Linked DNA regions of Drosophila melanogaster. The protein of the gene in region 4 interacts with the protein of the main gene of each other region in a pairwise test. Each region holds a gene or a part of one and is shown on either strand. Other genes may lie near its edges. The genes, in order: Prip, CG42288, CG17985 and CG14401.

Region 1 (7,732 bases), on a different chromosome or scaffold from region 4:
TATTTTATATTAAGATACAAAATCGATAAACACCAGTTTGTTTCAGTTAATGTTTTCCACTTTATTGTGAGCGCATGAGAGTACAAGTAATTTTGTTGTAGATTGCATTTTAGGGCAGCTTACACATTAAATATTAGTTAGTTAAAAATGAATTTTGCATGAATAAATACATAAATACACACGAACGTAGAAGAACACGACATGTTTATGTTAGACACTGAAATGAATGGATTAAACACACAGATTTCATCTGTATCCCTAGATTCGAGTCGCAAAGATTTCTTTATATCTAGGCGTAGTCACGGGCTCCCTCCAGTTTGCGCATCTGCAAGTAAATAAATTGCAATAATACAAAATTTAGTTAGCTAATTAAACAGGGATGCAAACCGATCGAAATGGCGGACGGGTTCGGTTGATAGGATTGAAGAGTTTCTAAACCAATCGTATTCGGTTCACAAAAGCGGTTTAGATTAGTTTTGCGTGCAGGTCGTAATATCTTTAGTATACGAATATCTGCTGCTAAAGCGATAAAACATAACACATTTAATAGTTATAGTTAAGCGAGATATGTATATGCCAAATGGTTCGGGTTGTGGTTCGGTTTGCATCCCTGAAATCAAGTAATTCGGGAGTATTTACAATGCAAGTGTGAGTGAGTGTTTGTGTGTGTGATGGGTGTGTGTGTGTGTGTGTGTGTGTAATGGGTGGGCGGAATCACGGATCAGTAGAAGGACTCCTCGCTCCAGGCGCTTATCAACCTGACTCTCACCTCGCGTTCATCGGCGTGCGTTCGGTACTTCTCGGATGCCTCGTTAACCTTTGGCACGGGCTTCGCCTCCAGGACCTGGGTGTAGAGCAGGGCGGCAGCCACGCCCCCCAGCACAGGTCCCACCCAGTATACCCAATGCGACGCCCAGATGTCGGTGGCAAAGGCGGTGCCCACGGTGCGAGCGGGATTCATGCTGGCCCCGGTGTAGCGGATGGTGCCCAAGTGACCCAGGGTCACCGCCATTCCGATGGCCAAGGGCGCCGTGTAGCGGGAATCGGGCTTGTGGGGATCACAGGCCCCAAAGACGACGAGCACCAGCAGGAGTCCCAGGAAGAACTCGATTCCCAGGCCCTGCAGCTCGGTGATATTGGGCGCCAGAGAGGTGTGACCCAGGCCATTGTAATAGTCCTGATCGATGAGAATCTAATGTGTTGGTATAAAAAAAATATTTATATATAGATAGATAGATAGATTAGATTAGATATCTTAATCTTAAAAATAAATATAGCTCTTAGTTTTGTTGAGTATGTAAAAATACTTTAAACTATTAGATTTTAAGTTGATTCATTGAACTGGTGATTTCTACTAAATCATTTGTTTTTTAAAATGTGTAGTTTTTAATACAAAATAAAACCGAAAAATACGAGTATTTAATCAAAGTACTTTCTTGACATTGGCGTACCCGTATCATTTATCCACTCAACGAAAGAAAGTAATGGTCAAAACACAAGGCATTTTTAACCGCAACCGGATGTGAGGCAATCACAATAATAAACTTAATAACATGTATGTACATATGTGTCTCAGTGTGTTATTTTAAGAAAGCGAGATAAGCTCAAAAGCATTGCAAACAATCATCTTACAACGAGTAAGTATTTATATTTATTATTATTTATACATTTTTTTAATTGACTACATTTTGGATTTGATTTTGAAATCTGGCAGTTCTGATTGAGACACTTACAAGCCAAATGACTTTTCTTTGGCAATGCTGTTTTGTAGATATACCATAGAAGTAAAGATAGGTTAGATTTTTTTGTCATAATGACGACCTCTATATAATTGATGATGATGATATAAGAAATAGTGGAATCTGATGAGTATTTTGTTTTAATAATTTCACTCAGATGTATGTAATAATTTATGTGTGTAATGCCTACCTTAACCGCTGCAGTTCCGGCAATTGCACCCAAGCACTGGAAAACCACATAGAAAAAGGCTCTGATCAAGCTAATTCGTCCTGCGACCAACATTCCAGCGGTAACGGCAGGATTCACATGACCACCACTCAAGTGGCCCACAATCTGCAAGGATATATAGTTGAATATGGGTATGAATAATGTCGTAGATTAACGAGCCACCCACCGTGATGGCCATGAAGATAGCCAGGCCAAAAGCCAAGGCCTTGAAGGTGCCATCCTCAATTTGGGTGCATGCGCCGCAGGCAAAGAAATTGAGGATCAAATTGCCAAGGAATTCTCCAATCAAGGCCTGCCACAATCGCAGCTCCTTGGATTTGAGCTAGAAGACAAATTAATAAGTAAAGTAGCATTATTTAATGATATTTTTAATAACTGACTGGTATTTCGATTAAACTTTGTCTTTGTATGATTTGCACTCACCTCATTGAGACCCAGTGAGTATTCGAATTTTCCCATCTTCTTCGCTTCACTTTTCAACTAAAACTGACGGACTGAAAAAAAAGACCAACGGAAATATCAGTGAACGATGTCTGGTAGTTAATGCAAATGGCAATCCAAAATGCAAATGGAAATGTGTTTGAAAATGGAAGTGGACAATTGTCCGACTTCAGCAGGTATTTAGCCACTTTTATCACTCATTTAAGGTGCGATATTGTTTTGGCCTTTGGTGACAGTTTTGACAATCTGCATTTCCGCTGCAATTTCCGTCACGATGCCTAATTGGCCGACACTTCTGTCTGGTCTTCAATTGGAAAAGTCTAGGGGTTTTCATTTAACTCAAGGCTTGTGTCCCAAAAATTCTTAATCTACGTTTATTTATTAAATGCTCAACTTTAGCACTTGTCATTAAAAGTGGGTAACTGGAGGCAGCCAGTGGGTAACTGGGCAATCCTCCTCTCAACTCGACGACTGCCAGCTTATCAGCAATTGCAGCTGCATGTGAGAATATATATAAAACAAACAAAGTGTATAATATTTAATTGGCAACGGGTCATAAAAACGATGTAAATATTTGAGCACAACGCCGTCAGGAGTGAACAGAACTCGCAATTGAGTTTTTAACCGGCAGTTTTTGTAGCCGCGGGGGGATTAGGCCTGGTTTTTTTTTAGAGTGTTCTAGAGTGGCATCAGTGGAAAGCGTTTGCTTTGCTCTTCTTATTTGGCGCAACGCGGTCACGAACAGGCCCAAAAATGGGCTAAGACTTGTTGGCCATGCCCCCACACATCAAGAACATCGAGAGCTTTAAAAATACATACGAGTATGTATGTATAAAATAATTTATATTGCATATATCATTTCATTTGGTAATCAATCAGTGAGCGCTCAATGTTAATTCCCATTTTCTATGCTCGCAAAGCATTCAAGTTGTTCATCACTTCGAGTATTTACTTTTCTAATGCAATCTTAATGAATTTCGTGTTTCATTTGCGTCATCTACGAGCATGAGCCCCATATCGATATCAGCCAATAGACTCAAGTGCTCTGATATGAAAAAGCGAGTTCTATTCCTTAATTGAGGTGCAGGGGGTGCGCTGGATGATCAAATAGTAATTGAGTTGACTTAAGGTTGGGCCCACGGATAAGTGGAATGCCTTGCCATAGAGCGAAAATCTACCCACACAACAATTTCCATTGACTGGAGGTTTGAGGAAAACGGGGTAAAAACCTGAGAGTTTCAATATTTGTCATCGACCGTTAATCATGCATTGTGAAAACGGATTCAACAATTTGAGCATGTAATTATAATCTTTATTAGTTCCTATGAAATGCTTTAATTGGCCAGCTACTAACTGACATTCCGTAGTGCGGATTCACAGGTGCTGATTATCACTTTGGTTGCAGCTAATGAGAATGGTTAAATGGTGTATGTACAACCACAAGGTGTTGGGTCCTCGAATGAAAAATCTAAGCAATTAATCGGCTCTGATTAAAGTTTGCTTTGCGATTATTTCGGGCCGCAATTTATGGATGATAAGCTTGTTTTATAATTGGAAACCCAATATGCCCCTCACCAATTCTGGAATTTTCAATAGCGCGCCAACAAATGTGGCTAATTGCCAGTGTACAAGTGGGTCCGTGCCAATTCGCATAATATCCGAACAATAAAGTAAAAGTTTGCTCAACAAATTAGCACAAACGGCGAGAACAAAATCCACATAATTCACACATATTTTCGCACACACAACAAAGTCGAATGCATTTCAACGCATTTCGTTCTGATTTTCGTCATTCGAGGCATTTTTGTGACTTTCGAAACGTGTATGAACAAGGGGTTCATGAACTTGAACTCTCGCCGAATTGAACCGAGGGGCGGCTAAAAATGTGTTCCAATAAAATTTAATTATATGCAAATATTGAAGAATGTCGTTAAGAAAAATCGCCGCATACGCAGACATTCGTCATTAATTTAAAAACATGCCGATAACACGGGTATAAATCTCCCGTTTCTGAAGCTGATGAGCTAATATCTTTGGCTTTGCTTTCTTGATGTATTTTTATGGACTCTAAAAGCGAGTATACAAATTATCTTGACCACTTTTCAAGTGTTTTCGGTACTATTGCCGTTTTGAGTAGCATTTATTGGCATCAAAGTAATTACCAATATGGCAGTCACATGATCTCTAACTATTTTAGTGTTTTTTGAAAAAGTTAAGGGACAACAATGTAATGCAGACTATTAAAGCTTAGGAACTAGCTGTTAACTTTGCCTGAAATCAGGGAACTGGACTTCATATTCATTGTTTTTGAACTATTGTATCTGGCCTAGCTCCAATTGCGTTCGTCGCCTGATGGCATTTGGCGATATAGACGTTTGCAATTGTTTGCCGCAACTTTGTCACTTAAAAAGCCATAAAACTTACTTAAGCCCTAAATTTGTATGCAACGCCGAACGTGGGAGGGGCAGGAGCGATAAAAGTGGGGGGAAACCACACACACACAGAGGCAATTGCAAAGTTAATAGCCCAAACTCCCACACGTGTTCGGGGCCACAGTGAAGCCAGGCTTCTGATGGACATTCTTCACTTAAATTACCAAATCAGAGACCAGAAAATTGCTGCGGTCAACCCATCAATCACAAGTGTCAGATATGAAGCGAACTGAATGCCCCAAGCTCTGTAAGACCCATTACCATATCATCGGATCATGGCATTGCCGTACCTAAATAACAATTAGCCAATGAACACAATACCAAAACATATAGAAATCTTAAAAGCTTAAACAGATCGCACGACCGCATCGTTTCACGCAACGCTGGTTTCAAAATGAAAAGCACAATGAAATGTCCCAAATGTATGAATTTTCAAATACACATCTTTTGGCAAGAATAACATTTTATATTCGCGGCTTTTAATTACTCAGAATCGTGCTGGCGGTCAAAAGTAAAAATTGTACATAAATTGTTATATTTTTACGATTGACATGCGGGGGCGGTCTCACAAAATTCCAAAAATCATAACAAGAGGAAAACAGATCAAAGTAGATTTGATAAATGGCGAAGTAAGGGGTTAGAAAAAAATGCAAAACGGTATTACAGCATTAGTTTCGGTGCACAGGGAGAAACTTTAGTTACTTTGAATTATACTTGCTTAACTTAAATTATTAAATTTGTCACTATTTAGCTATATAAGCAATTACATTTCATTAGTTTATATTAAACTCAAAAACTAAATATAAATAAATCGATTACAAGCTTATAAATACACCATTAACAGCATAATATTGCAGGATAACTGATTTGATTAGATCTAAACTTAATTAAAAACATTAATAATACACATATGTTGAAATATTCTCTTTTTGATATGCCCATTTAAAGTTTATGTACTTTATGCATTTTCAAGATCACTTTCAATTAGAAGTTTACCTTGTTTTGCTATTAGCTCACTTTGGCACCTTTGCCACCTGCTTACGAACTCGACTTAACGGCAACAACAACAGCTAACACCTTAACTTGCACTTAACAAATATTTAATTCAATTCGGCAGGAATTGTTAGCTCACTCGAGGAGTGATCCGCGCACTTTGACTCGACGACAAAAACTGCGCGACCGCATTTGGCAGCAAAAAGCCAAAGGCACCAAAAACGATGGCGCAGAAAGAGCGCGATTTATAAAGAGAGAGGGGCAGAGAGATAAATTCATGCGAAGAGCGCACATTTATATTAATTAAATTATAAAAAACTAAATAATGTAATTATGCGTATTAACTAAATGTTTATATAAATGTGTAACTAATTATTAAAAACAAATTAGTTTTTATGAGCTTTTATGTTTACATTCTATACGCTTTAATATAAGCTTTATGCGTAAGTATAAGAAAGTTAATCAGAGAACTTATTCGTTTATAGATATATATATCAAATTCTTCATCGATTTAATTTAATTGCACTATCCAAAGTTTTGAAAGGGAATGAATTCGAAATTGTTTAGCTGCGCGGGCGCACCGCTTAAAAACACAACATGCCAGGCACCGAAACTCACCACACCCCACACGCGTCAGCCAAGACACAAACCATGCAAAAATATTAAATTGAAAATTCCGACCAATCAGTAAATTTATGGACTGCAAATAGTTATTTAGGGGTAATATTTACACCCACCCATCATTCACGTCAGACAGTGACGCTTGCAGAAAAGTTTCCGTTGCTTTTCGGTGTTCTTATCAGAGAAATCGGCCCAGAAATCATGTCTTCACAAACAATTTCTTTAATTAATTTAGTGTACTCCAAGCAGAGAATACCGAACTTTTCCATGACATTTTGACGTAAAATCAAATTCACTTTATCTTTATGGGTGTTGTCTTCGAAGTATATTTGCCATTTTAAATTAATAACCGCAAAATCGCAGATCACAAATCCAAGCACACTTTTATGAGGCCCTCATAAATGCGTATAATCACAATTTTATGACTGTGAGCTTGGTGTAAAATAAAGTGTAATCGTATAAGTCAAATATAAGAGTAGAAATGATCGAGATAGTACACCGAAAACAACGTAGGCACACTTTGTATGTATAGTTTGCTTACATTATGGTCTGAAACTGTTCGACCTTTATATATAACATTATTTTTATTATTATAAACTATTTTATTTTATTTTAATTTTATTTTCATTATTATCATAATCATAAAATGGCTAATTATTAGGGTAAATTCGCCAAAAAGTGTGTAATATTTAAAATTATATTGTGTGTAGACGAGTCTGAAAAGGTCATTCCTGGTTTTAAAGTTAATGTCACGTCTTTAGACTAGCGAATTTGGCTTAGATTAAAAATACCACTTAGCTTTATCTTAAGGTTTCCTGATTAGAAACATTATAGTATAGGCTATGTGTACTTCACTATTAGTTATAGATAATAACGGGTTTAATACTGATAACAAGTTAAATAAGAATAAGGCGGTTGAATGCAACACGTGCTGATACGGGTACAAAAATACTAATACACTTCACTCCGAATCGGATTGATAGAAACCTCCTAGTTAATTGTAATGATCATTCGCATTCTAAACTGACAAGCGTTGTAGTTATTTATTTATAGAGTTTCTCTTTTATTCAACATATTATTTTCTTATGTTACATTTCTTAAATCATAGTTACTGAAATTTTATAGCTTAACAAAGAATAGTTAATTATGTAAATTTTCGGATGATTAATTAGTGCGTTTATCGAAAACGACGACATTTTGTGATTCAACTACATGTGCTCAGCCCAGTTTTATCAAAAATATGCCTGGGAGAAACAAACAAGTATAAATCATATACG
Region 2 (3,307 bases), on a different chromosome or scaffold from region 4:
CCAAATAAGGAAAGAGCAAATTAAGCGAATAGAACGGCTAGAAGGAGATCTCCCAGTGGAGCGGGAGTAGCTTCGTTTTTTTTTCGTGGACCGTGCGATAGAAAGCCGTCAAAATTACGACATACCACCCACCCACGCCCAAAGTCAAACAGAACCCGGCCAATACGGACGCCATGTCCGGGTCGGGTGCGTTTGACGATGAGCCGCCGCCGGAGCCGCGGGACGGATGGCTACTGGTGCGCATCCATGTGCCGGAGCTGAATGTCTACAAGTGTCTGCAGTTCCCATCGGAGCGGCTCGTTTGGGATGTCAAGCAGCAGGTGCTCGCCTCGCTGCCGAAGGTAAGTCGGTCACTGTCATTACCACTGCGATACCCATTGTCTTTTCGGTGTATATAGAGCACGGGCATGTCTCATGTGCGCTAAATACTCACTAAACGGGGAGAAATATGTACATCCGAAATGGGGTCTACTTCACATAGTATGGAGTTCTGCTCAAGCGAAATTATGATCTGTATTTCTGTATCCTACATGCATTATTTTATTAGGCACATCAAATGCTTGCTCAACATACTAAAATTTGTAAATATCATTATTATTACTATTATTACACATAACCGGTTTCCAGTTCATCTTCGTAGGCGAAGAGCAGTTCTATGTAGTAGGACCAAACCACCAGCCAGGCATACACTAAAAGTACTATAAAACATTAAATAGTATACTTAATTTAGGCTTTAGATTCATGATTATTGGGGGTACCCACACATTGTGATGACAGTCAGGATGATGATGATGGTATTAAAGCTGTAAACGGTCAGGGCAAAAATGTGCACAATTATCCAAATGGGTGTGAAAACCAAAAATGGCAGGAAGAGCATCTCGTTGTTCTACAAAATTATGAGGTATTATAAGCATATGCTAAATATATTGGGAATATTTATAATAGACAGATCACATACATTGTGCACTCCCAGGCAGAGCATGGCCGAAACTATGATGCCGAAGAAGGAGAAGACCATGGTGGCCTTGAGGGCCGCCGGTGCTGGGATAAGGGACCTCTGATACTCGTTCGGAAAGATGCACTCCATCATGAAGCCGGTGCCGATGGTGATGTAAATGAACCAGGTTAGAAAAATGCATCCGAAGAGCAGCACACCGAAACGCAGGGAATAGCAGTAGCAGCACTTGGTAAAGATCTGCTTCAGATATTTGCAGCGACAGGCCATGATTGATCCGATCCTCAGCCGCACTGCAAGTTTTAAACAACAATTTTCAAAGCTTTCCTGAGAAACTGAAATTTGTTGAAAATCTAGTTTGTATAAAAGGGACACACTGAAAGAAGTAAACTAGATCAGTTAAATTCAGTTACACGTTAGTTTAACATTTATTTTACAACTCATCAAATTGAATCGTCAGAATCCACACTGCTCAAATATCGATAAAAAGCCAGCACTATTAGCAGGGAATAAACGAGACCAACTAGGGGGTATGAAAATCAAGACATTATTCAGACATATTCAATCAAAAATGGCCAACACCCACCTATGATGAACACCTGAACGGCCAATATAATCGGCGAAGGTTTCGACCTGGCCAACTGGACAACGGCCATTAGGAAATATAGGGATAGTATAATTGCATAGATGATAATCCACATAAGGACAAAGCCTCGCTTGCTCTGCATTTGTAATGTTATAAAGCATTAGAATCTTGAAAGAAACCAATTGAATCTCTTACCTTCGAAGCAGCATACACAAGGAGTATAGAGCTCAGAGTTCCAATTGTCAGGATCGGAGACATGATGACGGGTGCCCACCATTTGTGGGACACTTGCTTGATGAAAATGGTGTCATCCGAATGCGTTATCAGCTCCCCAACGTGAAATGTTATGAAGATGGCTCCAATGATTATGCAACCCACGTTGAGGGGCAGGAAAAAGCAGCACTTTTTAAAAAACATGCCGCTACAGAAATTTGTGATTTTTTTTTACATGAATTTCGCCCAAAACAACAGAATGCAAGGAACAGTTGATCGTAAAATTTTTGCGTTAGTTATTTAATATTTGAATCAATAATAATCTTGCACTAAGATTAAGGATCAAAATCCTTAAAAGACACAAATTCACAATCAAACTAAATGCATTTTGCATTGAATCACACAAAAAACCAATTACTGTGGAATCGCAATGCAATTTTTCAACAGATGTTGTTGATTGAAATTTTTATGCAGCCAAAGGCTGACACGTGCCCTTACAACATAAAAACGACCACGCCCCCTCAGCCGCCCTCGAATGGCTGCCAAATGGCCCTCGTGAAGTTTCAATTTTTGAAGTTCAATGCAATTTATCGGCAACTGCAATGTCTGAGGTCGTGCGCCCAGTTGGAAATCGTGACGCTGCAGATCCAAAGATATTTGACAATTGAATGGCAGTCTGTCAAGGGGAGGCAAAAAAAAAGTGTCAGTCACAAGGAAGGTTAGTTTTTCAATGGCCAACAGATTAGGAGAACTACGTGTTAACATATTCACATATGTTACTTAGTTTGAAATATGAGTAAATGCGTGGTCAGGGGGTCAAGATCAGCGGTTATTTGCCCTTATAATGCCGTCAAATTACTCACCGAATGAAAGGCACTTCCCCGCTCCTTTGTGCTAATGAAAGCCAAACAATGGTCAATCAATTGTATACATTTAATCGCAATTTGTTGAGCAAATTGCTGTCGAAACATTGTCAAGCGTAAATGCAATGCGGGGGCCTCGCCCAATTCAATATTGAAACCGCAAAATTGCAAACGGAAACTCTGGGCGATACCCAAACTGAAACCGAACTGGATTTGAAATCACACTGGTATCGATTCGAATCGAACTGAACTGAACTGAACTGAAATGAACTTCGCTGAACCGAACACAATGACCTCCAGCTAATTGCATGGCCGGGTCTTTCGTGCCGGTTCCGTTTTCGTTTCGGCCAATTCAAATTCAGCGCGTCAAGTGACAGACATTGCCTTGTTTTTGGCTTTTTGGCAAGGGGGCGTGGCCGCTCTGGTTCCACTGTCAGCGTGCAGCTTAGTAAATTATGTTGTAAATTCTGATCGGTTGTGTGGGAACCGAAAGCTGAGCGTGCTTTAACCATTTTTTGGGGATATTTGTTTGTGGGGAATAATATCCTGAGTTACATAAGCATGCAATGTGAATTGCGATTAAAGTTTATGGAAGCATGTTGTTTGTGTTTTGTTGAAAGATAGCAAGGGCTAATTAAGTTGTTCATGCTGCAAACTAAAGAATATGACATCATTGGAATAACTTAATCC
Region 3 (5,922 bases), on a different chromosome or scaffold from region 4:
GAACACGTCACTGGCCAAGCGGCACAAACTGGAGCACGCCGTCTCCATGGCAGAAGTAGCCGATGAGTCTACGATCGCCTCGGACTTATCATCACTCGAAACGTTAGCTCTTTAGAGAACCTTGGTCGAGCTATTACTATTCTACATTTCATCTCATTTCAGGGATCCTTCTATACATTCGGAGGCCACTCCACCTATAGCCTCACCGGCGAGTCCTGTGCCCGTGCGCCACGGATTCCTCCGGAGCAATATTGCTTTCTTTGAGAATTTAAAGTTCAAGTGAATATGCGAATACAGTCTTGTTGGGTGCGACCCTTAGTTGATCTTCCCGGAGGGGAAAATTTACGACAATGGCAAAGCACCAATCCGGCCATAATCCAAACCAAATCTTCGCCAAATACCATGTGCCATGGCCTCCATTTCCCAGTCGAAACATCACGGAAAAAAAGTACTTAAGTTCAGTTGGCCGTTAGCATGCGCCATTGTTAATTGTAGTTCGTATTTAGTATTACATAATTCTTATATCCATGGATACTATTTATTTAGCTCTAAGATATGTATTACGTACTTTTTTGGCGTAAGAGAAACTATCCCAACTTCAGCTGAATAATGTTACACCTTACCCGTACTATTGTAGTTTAAATGTTACATAATTGTACTCAATAAAACATATAGAAAAGCAAAACGGCGGGGTTACGATTTATATTCACAGCACAATCGGATCTTAGAATCCTGCAATTGGTGCTGCCAGAAGTTATGTGGCGCATAGACAAGCCTATGCATCTGGGAAGCACCCAAATCGTGGTAATTTAAAAGTTCTGTCGACAAAGACCTTATTTTTTTTATCAAGAGTCAATACAAAGTTACGCGCATAGGTATAAAAATAAATTCCGTCGCCTGGGGTTGCATTTGAAATGCGCCAGGCTCATCTGAGAGATTGACAGGGTGCCGGGTGAGGGGGTGCCGTTTGGAATGATGACCACTTCGGGTGCAGACATTACCCAACTACTGGGCACTATGGTTGTGATGTGGATGCTCTGCTAGGTAGATGACGTAGACCAAGGGTATGACGACACACAAGGCGAGTATGAAGATCAGCAGACATATCCAAGACAAGTCGCAGTCCGATCCGGACCAGTCGATGGCACTCAAAGAGGGTCCAGGGATGGGACGCACTAGCGGAGCGTGCCTGTCCACCATGTGGTTAAGCAGAGCGGCATTTTCCTCGTAGGGTTGCTCCATATTGGCTGTAGACAAAGTTAAGAGATCATGATTACGCAATTAAAAGACATTGCAAACAAGATTTATAAAATATATAAAACACCTCAGTTTTCAGTTGGTGGAGGTATAGATTTCGCTTTATTTAATAAATTGCCAGCTGCAGTGTTACAGTTTGCAGAGGATACAGAATAGTGCCAATAAATGTAACTTAGTTGTAGGTCATGTAGCGTGGAGTGGCGCTGAACTTGGCGTAGCTCTTGATAACCTTCTTGACGGCTTCGAGGAAATCCTTCTCTGTGGCCACCTTGCGACGCGCCCGAATGGCGAACATGCCCGCTTCCGTGCATACTGACCGGATCTCAGCACCAGTCGAGTTGGGACATAGACGCGCCAGCAGATCGAAGCGAATATCTCGCTCCACGGACATGGAGCGGGCGTGAATCTTAAAGATGTGCGAGCGACCGTCCTGGTCAGGCAGGCCGAACTCCACCTTTCGGTCCAGACGACCGGGACGCATGAGCGCCGGATCCAACGTGTCGGGTCGGTTGGTGGCCATCAGCACCTTGATATTTCCGCGCGGATCGAAGCCATCCAGTTGGTTAATCAGCTCCAACATGGTGCGCTGCACCTCGTTGTCGCCGCCGGCCCCATCGTCGAATCGGGCACCACCGATAGCATCAATTTCGTCGAAGAAGATGAGACAAGCCTTTTTGGAACGCGCCATTTCGAAGAGCTCGCGCACCATACGAGCGCCCTCACCCACGTACTTTTGCACCAGCTCAGAGCCAATGACGCGGATAAAGCAAGCGTCCGTGCGGTTGGCAACGGCGCGGGCACACAGGGTCTTTCCCGTTCCCGGTGGGCCAAACAGTAGCACACCTTTGGGCGGCTCAATACCCAGATTGACGAACTTTTCCGGGTGCAGCAGTGGCGTCTCCACCACCTCGCGCAGCTTTTCGATTTGTTCCTTGCAGCCGCCCACATCGCTGTAGGTGACGTCCGGCTTGTCCTCAACCTGCATCATGGTAACCGTAGGATCAATCTTGGGAGGCAGCGGAATGTGGATCTGGTACTTGTTGCGGTCGACACCCACACGCATTCCCTCTTCTATGTCAGTAGGGGCCACCGAGTCAGCTAGGTCCACCACGAACTTGGCGAACTGCTTAACATTGATGATATACTTGGGGTCGTCGGAATCCGCGTTGATGATCTTGGTGCATCGGGCAACCTGCAGCGGTTGCTCGTTTTGCAGGATCTGCTTGTCGGCGGCCAAATCCCAGAGCGCTGGTGGCGCCAGACCCGTGTCGCTTTCCTTGATTCCAGTCAGCTCGTTCACCTGCTTCACAGCCTTTTGAATGTCCTCCTCGATGCTCTTGATGGATTTGTGATACTGGCTCTGCCCATAAGTCTTTAGAAGCTCAATGTCGCCTTCGTCGAGGGACTTGATCTCCTTGTCCTCCTTCTCATCGTGCTTCACCTTGCGCTGGTCGTCGCCCAGGTAGTCCGGCATCTTATTCGATTGCAATTGTACGGTTTTTAAGGCAAAAAATGAGTTTATGCGATGTTTTCCTTTTGTTTTACGGCGAGAATGACTGAACAATTTGGCATAGAGATGGGAGAAGCACCGCTAGCGCTATCGACGAATCGATACATGCTTTCCCAACACTGACTTTAACACTGGGAACTATCGATGTGTAGCCACTTTTAACTTCTACTGTTAAAATACAAATCTTAAACTTTTCCCAAAATTATTTTATGGTATTTCAATTGGAAATATACTAATTAGTAACTGGAGCTTAAATTTTTAACACATAAAATGTCTAAATGCTGTTATATTTCTTATCTTATCTTAGAGCATGTTGCGAATTTCCATGCATGTGTTTTAGTTCAAAATTGGTAGATATTTGAATTGAAATAGATAAGAAACTTTGTTATTTTTAAAGTACTGATATTGCTTGATTGATAAGTAAACATACATTCTGCACCCTTTACCTTACCTGTACTTTTATTTTTAAATTAAATAATATATATGTACACTCGCACTGAAATCAGCACTGACCTTTCTTCACCAACAGTGAAAGTATTTCAGAAATTTTTAAAACCGCGGCGAACTGTGGGCTTTCATTCCCAACTGCATCTTCTGTACTCACCTTCGTCATTCGGCGCACCCTGGGCTCCCTCGTAGAATTGTCCAGCAGCTCTGCTCGTCGATGGTTTCTCGTGATCCACGGCGCCTGAAGCATTTACCGCCGCCACCAGGAGTCGCTCATCCAGCATTTGCCGCGCATCCTCGAGGGGATTGCGTTCGGGAGCTGGTTCCCGCTCAATATTGTGTCTAGGACTGTTGTTCCCGCTGCGGTGGACCGCAGGAAGGGCTTCGAGGCCCCCGTTGCCCAGCAGGACGTTGTGCACTGTAACCGGAATGCGAATAACCCGATGTGCGTGGATTTCATTTTCGCGGTCGATCTTGTTCAGGCGCTTGATGTCCGCCACAGAGGAGTGAAAGCGCAGGGCCAGCGCCTGGAGTGTGTCTCCCTCTTGGACCTTTACCTCCAGAGTGTTCTCGTAGCGGCCGAGTCGGGCGTGGCCATTGGGCCTCCTGGCCAGAGGGAGCAGATCTTCGAACTCGTCGTCATCGTAGGCGGGACGGGCAAAGATGTCTTCCACGTCGTCGGGGCCGATTTCTTCCTGATTGTGTTGTTGTTGGCGCCTGAAGATGAGGGGAGAACTCCGATCACATTCGGATCTCTTGGAAAAAGCAACAGTCGAGTTGGCGCTGACTTACGCATTGCGACGCATTGTTTTCCTGCTTGCCTAGTCGGGATTTCCTGGCCCAGATCTCAACTACGTTCCTTCCCTCGATCAAATCGCACGTCGTTGTTTAGCTCAAGCCAGTTAATTAACGCAATTAGATTATTTACGTGTAAAGTTTGTTCTAAGCAGCAGCCCACGAACAACAACAAAGGGAAAGCTCCGTCACAGATGACCGAAAATATCGATAGGACTCTGTTAACGAGCGCTGTTAGCCTTAACAGGGTAAACACAGCTGTTTTCGTTTATTAGCTAATTTGTATATTTTTTGAGTTCCTAAAATGTCACTATTTGCGTTTCTCAAGAGCCGCACTGCGTTCTGGCTGAGCTTCACCGGCACGACGACGGGACTGGCCTTCTTCGTGAAGTGAGTGATCTGCTTCTCACACAGAATTCCCTTGTTTTGACTACACATTTTATACCGCCTCACAGGGATCTTATGCAAGGCGGTCAGTTCACCAAAGAAACCAATGAGACCGGCAAGGTGTTTATTGTCACCGGTGCCAACACGGGGATCGGCAAGGAGACGGTGAGAGAGATTGCGAAGCGAGGTGGCACCGTCTACATGGCATGCAGAAACCTAAAGAAATGTGAGGAGGTACGATCTTTATTGAGATAATTTCCTAAAACACGACTAAATACTTCTCGCGTGCAGGCTCGCGAGGAAATCGTGCTGGAAACGAAGAACAAATATGTGTACTGCCGGCAATGTGACCTGGCTTCCCAGGAGTCCATCCGTCACTTTGTTGCCGCGTAAGTCTACCTAAGGCCTAAGTTGTGTTTATTCCGCAATCCATCTCCGCAGCTTCAAGAGGGAACAGGAGCACCTGCACGTACTGATCAACAACGCCGGTGTTATGCGCTGTCCCAGATCTCTCACCTCAGATGGCATCGAACTTCAGCTGGGGGTTAATCACATGGGTCATTTCCTGCTTACCAATTTACTGTTGGATCTACTCAAGGTACCACACAGCTTTACTAGATCTTAAATCTGATTAATAACCATTTTATTCCTAGAAATCCTCACCCAGTCGGATTGTAAATGTATCCAGTTTGGCACACACTCGAGGAGAAATAAACACTGGCGATCTGAACAGTGACAAATCCTACGATGAAGGCAAGGCCTACAGCCAGAGCAAGTTGGCCAATGTACTCTTCACAAGGGAGTTGGCCAAACGATTAGAGGGCACCAACGTAACGGCGAATGCCCTGCATCCAGGTGTGGTGGACACAGAAATAATCAGGCACATGGGATTCTTCAATAATTTTTTTGCTGGGTTTGTAGAGAAGTAATGCCATTAAAACCTTTTTTACGAAATACTTATCTTTTCAGACTCTTTGTTAAGCCTTTGTTTTGGCCCTTTGTTAAGACTCCGAGAAATGGTGCTCAGACCTCGTTGTATGTTGCTCTGGATCCCGAGCTAGAAAAGGTGACAGGACAATACTTCAGCGACTGCAAACTGAAGGAAATGGCGCCGGCTGCCACCGACACCCAAACGGCAAAGTGGCTTTGGGCAGTCAGTGAAAAGTGGACGAAGCCAACGATGATTAAAATACAATAGTTCGTATTGTGAAATATGTTTCTGACAATCCCTCTGTTACTTCGCATAAATTTTCAGTTTCTTACAGTCTACACAATTCCACTTGTCTTGTTTTAGTTATTTTAACGTGGCCGACTAATAAGAGTTGAAAGCTCAGGGCTTGTGTGCGTTCAAACTTACGTACCCCGAAACCGGTTAGGGGCAATTTCTACATCATTTGTTTAAAATAGACGTGTATATCCATTACATTTTAACCCGAGCCTTCGGTCCAAAAGTTTAGGTTCATTTCGGCAGTATGCAACATTTTCGCTCTTTGTAAAGTTTGACGGTTTCGGCTTCTTGTCGCTAT
Region 4 (3,756 bases):
TATGAATTGTTGATAGACTTTAAGACGCGGAAAGATGGACGACGATTGTTTGTGGCATTGACGCGGCAGTGGTCCTCGCTGGGATCGTAGAGATTCCGCCGGACAACGCCAGCATGGACAGTATTGGTGAAGCAAAAACAAACACAATCTTTTGTACATAAATTGTTTTCTATCTGAATTGTTCTCAATGTGTAGTTTATATACAATATCTTGATAAATATCCATATATTTATATTTGAATGTTATTTATGTGTAGCCCAGAAGTGTTATGAATATAATCCGCAGCTAAACCCATTAAGATAATAAGCAAAGATGTTATCTGTTTGCCTACATAAAATAATTTATGCTATAAACTGGAAATAAATGTAAAACTAGAATTGTTTGACGATCAAGAAATCAATGGACTAGATATTGAAACAGAAATTGTGTGTATCGATTTGAAAGTGTTATTTTAATTTATTTTATGAATATTTTGTAATTAATGATCCTAATTGCAATACACACATACACATACTTACATACACACGCTAGTAGAGTAGGAAACGAGTAAATTTTATTCAATAAATTATATTAAATCAAACAAGTATAATTATATAAATATATATGTATGTTAAATCATTTTAGTGGATGTATAAAAACAATGGAAAGAAAATCAAATAAAATAAAAATTAAAAAATATTTGCTTCTATTTCATTCTTCTAGGGGCTTTAAGTTAAATTTATTACATATTCAGTAGGCTTTTTATAACTTAAGCCATTTGCCTTAGAAAATTAAGAATATAAGGATAAACTTTGGGTCGTTCTTGTTCTGCGCCCTTTGCATGAGTATAAGAAGTCATGTTAGTTAGTCGACCAAGAAAACAACAATCTTTTATACAATACTGGAGTATATTACTTTTAATAGGAAACATTGAAATACGACCGCCGCCGTTCCACGCGACTCATCTTCCTTAGGTCGCCAGTAGGACAAGCAGTCCGAGTATCGAAAGGGCAATGACCAAGGGTAGTGTGGATAATCCAGCGGCTGCGTTGCACAAATCCGTATCGCACAGTGTGCAGCCGAGGAAGTTCATAAAGGGCACCACAGGATCTGGTCCATCGTCGCAACTGACGCCTATTGGGGAGGCATCGCCAAAGTAACAGGAGCGCCTCACGAAGCGCGTGTCTCCTGGCACTGCGAAAAGTGAGTCATTTTATAAGGGATTTCCTTGACATATTTTCCAGAAACCATACTCGTATACTCACTTCCCTCATGGTACTTGGTAAGGCAAGTGGCCTCCGCTCCCAGGGATCGCATGTTCGCCACCACATCGCAATCCGTCGTGGATATGTCATCGCCCACAAATCGCTCCCCACACCCTGGATTATTGACGGAATCACATTCGTAGCAGGTAATGGCACGGGCTGATGACGACATCCGTAAAAATGTGTGTCCACGAGAGTGCACAGAAAGGAAAACAATGGATGAGCATTTTGGTAGACCTTATCTTTATCTTAAAGTAAACAATTAGCTTTAAAACCATTCTTAATGTTCCAAAACGTTAATTTCTTTTCAGATGTAAGTTAATTAAAATTTGTAATATAATTCTTGAACTTTTTAGACTCTATACGTAAACAATGAAATAAACAAAGAAAGCTGTTTATATGTTTTTCTTTACTGAACAGTTTCCCGCAAAACAGTCGGTAAAACCCTAAATTCACTGATTCGCAATAAATCGTGTTGACAGTCTTCTGCTTCTGAGATATTTCAAAATATGAACTACAATTTCGGGGCAGGAATGTGATGAGTGGCGGGCGCGAATCGAGAATCTCACCTGAGCTGGCCAGCGTGACGAGCAGAAAGAGCGAGGCAAGCGCTGCCATCATCGCCATCGTACCGCCCCCGAAAACAGTTGATTCCACTGTCGTCCGGCGGTCGCGGTGAGTCAGTATGGCTATAGCTATAGCTTGGCGATGCCGATACGTGCGCGAATACAGATGTTGTCTTCTCGGTTGCCGGACCGATTTTAATCACATGATAGATGCGCTATATAGCCACAAGCCGCCGACCAACGACCACCGACCACCGACCACCGACCACCGACTCGAAGCGATGCACACACGCGACTGAACTAAACAGAAACTGAACTGAACGTGCGAACAATCGCATTCAGAATGTGAATTTGATTTTCATAACAGATTTTTTCACATTTTCACTTCTCCATCGTTGGCTTTTCCCTGGCCAATGCGTGTTGACATCGTGCTCTGCCTTGCCCTACCCTGCCCTGCCATTCCCTTTGCCCTTTCCTCGCCAATCCATTTATTTCAGGCAAGGTTCATTAGTGGCATTTGAACAAATAAACAATTTGGCATTCTGTGTAAAATTAGTTTTTATTAGTTTGTATTTGGATCGTTCGAAATTTGTTTGCCAGCTTTTCGGCTCATTTCGGTGTGCTGATGTTGCTCATACGCCATGTTCGGCGTTGATTAGCCATTAATACAGTGGGCCGGGCAGATTTGGCTAAACGGTTTTGTGGATGGTGTGCTCTACTAATGTGGGCTTTACTAATTGATAGTCCTGGGCCTTGGGAATACATCTAAATTGAACTAGGTTTACTTAAGCTACTGTGCCTTTTAATGTTCATTTCACGCTCCACATTTCCACATTTCCACTTCGTCTCCTGTCGCCTCAGAGTAGTTGAGTTGCCAAGAGAAACAAGACCAGACTGCCGAAGATTTTCCATTTATCCACTGGATGATTTTCCGATCCGTTGCAGTAGTTCTCGCTGTCGCACACATGACAACTTGAGTTCTGCACCGCCGACAGGGTGGGGTCCATTTTGCACCACACATCGGTGGCATTTACCTCGCCGAAGTAGCAGCCTCTGACGATCTTACGCACGCCGTTTTCTGCAGAGGCAAAACATTGGGTTAGTCTACTTTCGGGCTGACTTATCGTAAATAAACACATTTTTTATTGTCCGTCTTTAATGGGCTTATACGAAATGTGTACGTATTGTCCAAAATATCAAGAGATTGTTGGAAAGTCTACGAGATTCTTCTGAAATAAGGTCACAGCTGTCCGTATATGCACGTATGTCTATGAATGTATGTATGACTGTTTCACATAATTAATTTTATTTGTTTTGATTTGCGTCACAAATCATTAAAGAAATTATTATCTGAAGAGTAAATACAAATCTCGGACGGACAACATTGCGAATGTTTAATGAGTATACAGACATTTACCTTTCGGAACACACTTTTTTTGTCCGCTGCTAATCGGACTGTATTTGTAATTAATGAACAATTACTTTAAAAAAATATCTGGTGGATAGATACATTTTTGGTGAATTACGATATATCCACTTTTTAATCTTATATTTCAAACTTTCTTTTCTTTTTACTATACCTATTGATTCATAACTATTAAAGTTACTATCCTAGCAAGGCTTCAAATCCGTAGGAACGTGTTTTGAGAAACATATTCGTTTAAACTCACCCTTGAATACCCGTTTCAAACAGGCCGTGGCATTCACGCTGAGCAGATCGTTCTCCAGGAATCGCGGAGGAGCAATGAAGGCGCAGTCGTATTTAAAATGGTTCTCGACTTCGAAGTCGTCGCCGCAACTAGCCTCGTAGACGGATTCGCAGGCATAGCACTTGATGGCGTAAGCTAGTGGCATTGGGATGGGAAGACCAGAGACGCGTCTTATTTATGGCAGAAATGAGATCAGGCGGGGACAGCCGACAGGTCGCGGCAAACGCAGAACTCGCA

The links.
Region 1: the proteins of CG14401 (region 4) and Prip interact in a two-hybrid assay, tested with the Drosophila melanogaster proteins (one large-scale study listed by BioGRID).
Region 2: the proteins of CG14401 (region 4) and CG42288 interact in a two-hybrid assay, tested with the Drosophila melanogaster proteins (one large-scale study listed by BioGRID).
Region 3: the proteins of CG14401 (region 4) and CG17985 interact in a two-hybrid assay, tested with the Drosophila melanogaster proteins (one large-scale study listed by BioGRID).

Annotation. Positions count from the first base shown.
Region 1 is NT_033778.4:11,434,528-11,442,259, reverse strand, and holds Prip (prip), read right to left. Parts: upstream 6,018-7,732; 5' UTR 5,838-6,017; intron 2,463-5,837; 5' UTR 2,428-2,462; coding exon 2,392-2,427; intron 2,291-2,391; coding exon 2,135-2,290; intron 2,074-2,134; coding exon 1,930-2,073; intron 1,193-1,929; coding exon 770-1,192; coding exon of another isoform or gene 722-769; exon of another isoform or gene 640-721; intron 611-639; coding exon 557-610; 3' UTR 520-556; coding exon of another isoform or gene 499-519; 3' UTR 388-498; intron 326-387; coding exon of another isoform or gene 290-325; 3' UTR 44-289; downstream 1-43.
Region 2 is NT_033778.4:14,089,027-14,092,333, reverse strand, and holds CG42288 (uncharacterized protein), read right to left. Parts: upstream 1,304-3,307; 5' UTR 1,226-1,303; coding exon 959-1,225; intron 887-958; coding exon 763-886; intron 699-762; coding exon 607-698; 3' UTR 520-606; downstream 1-519. Other genes in the region: CG42287 (uncharacterized protein), read right to left, coding at 1,399-1,478, 1,542-1,677, 1,737-1,958; prosap, read left to right, coding at 174-341.
Region 3 is NT_033778.4:7,651,107-7,657,028, forward strand, and holds CG17985 (uncharacterized protein), read right to left. Parts: upstream 4,197-5,922; 5' UTR 4,021-4,196; coding exon 4,007-4,020; exon of another isoform or gene 3,966-4,006; intron 3,932-3,965; coding exon 3,372-3,931; intron 2,849-3,371; exon of another isoform or gene 2,732-2,848; coding exon of another isoform or gene 1,430-2,731; exon of another isoform or gene 1,334-1,429; intron 1,248-1,333; coding exon 1,006-1,247; 3' UTR 519-1,005; downstream 1-518. Other genes in the region: Rpt1 (regulatory particle triple-A ATPase 1), read right to left, coding at 1,430-2,731; CG30491 (uncharacterized protein), read left to right, coding at 4,314-4,399, 4,465-4,630, 4,688-4,785, 4,838-4,994, 5,050-5,309, 5,366-5,594.
Region 4 is NT_033779.5:20,868,249-20,872,004, reverse strand, and holds CG14401 (uncharacterized protein), read right to left. Parts: upstream 2,152-3,756; 5' UTR 1,872-2,151; coding exon 1,658-1,871; intron 1,404-1,657; coding exon 1,245-1,403; coding exon of another isoform or gene 1,233-1,244; intron 1,174-1,232; coding exon 950-1,173; 3' UTR 533-949; downstream 1-532. Other genes in the region: CG31675 (uncharacterized protein), read right to left, coding at 2,668-2,888, 3,481-3,654.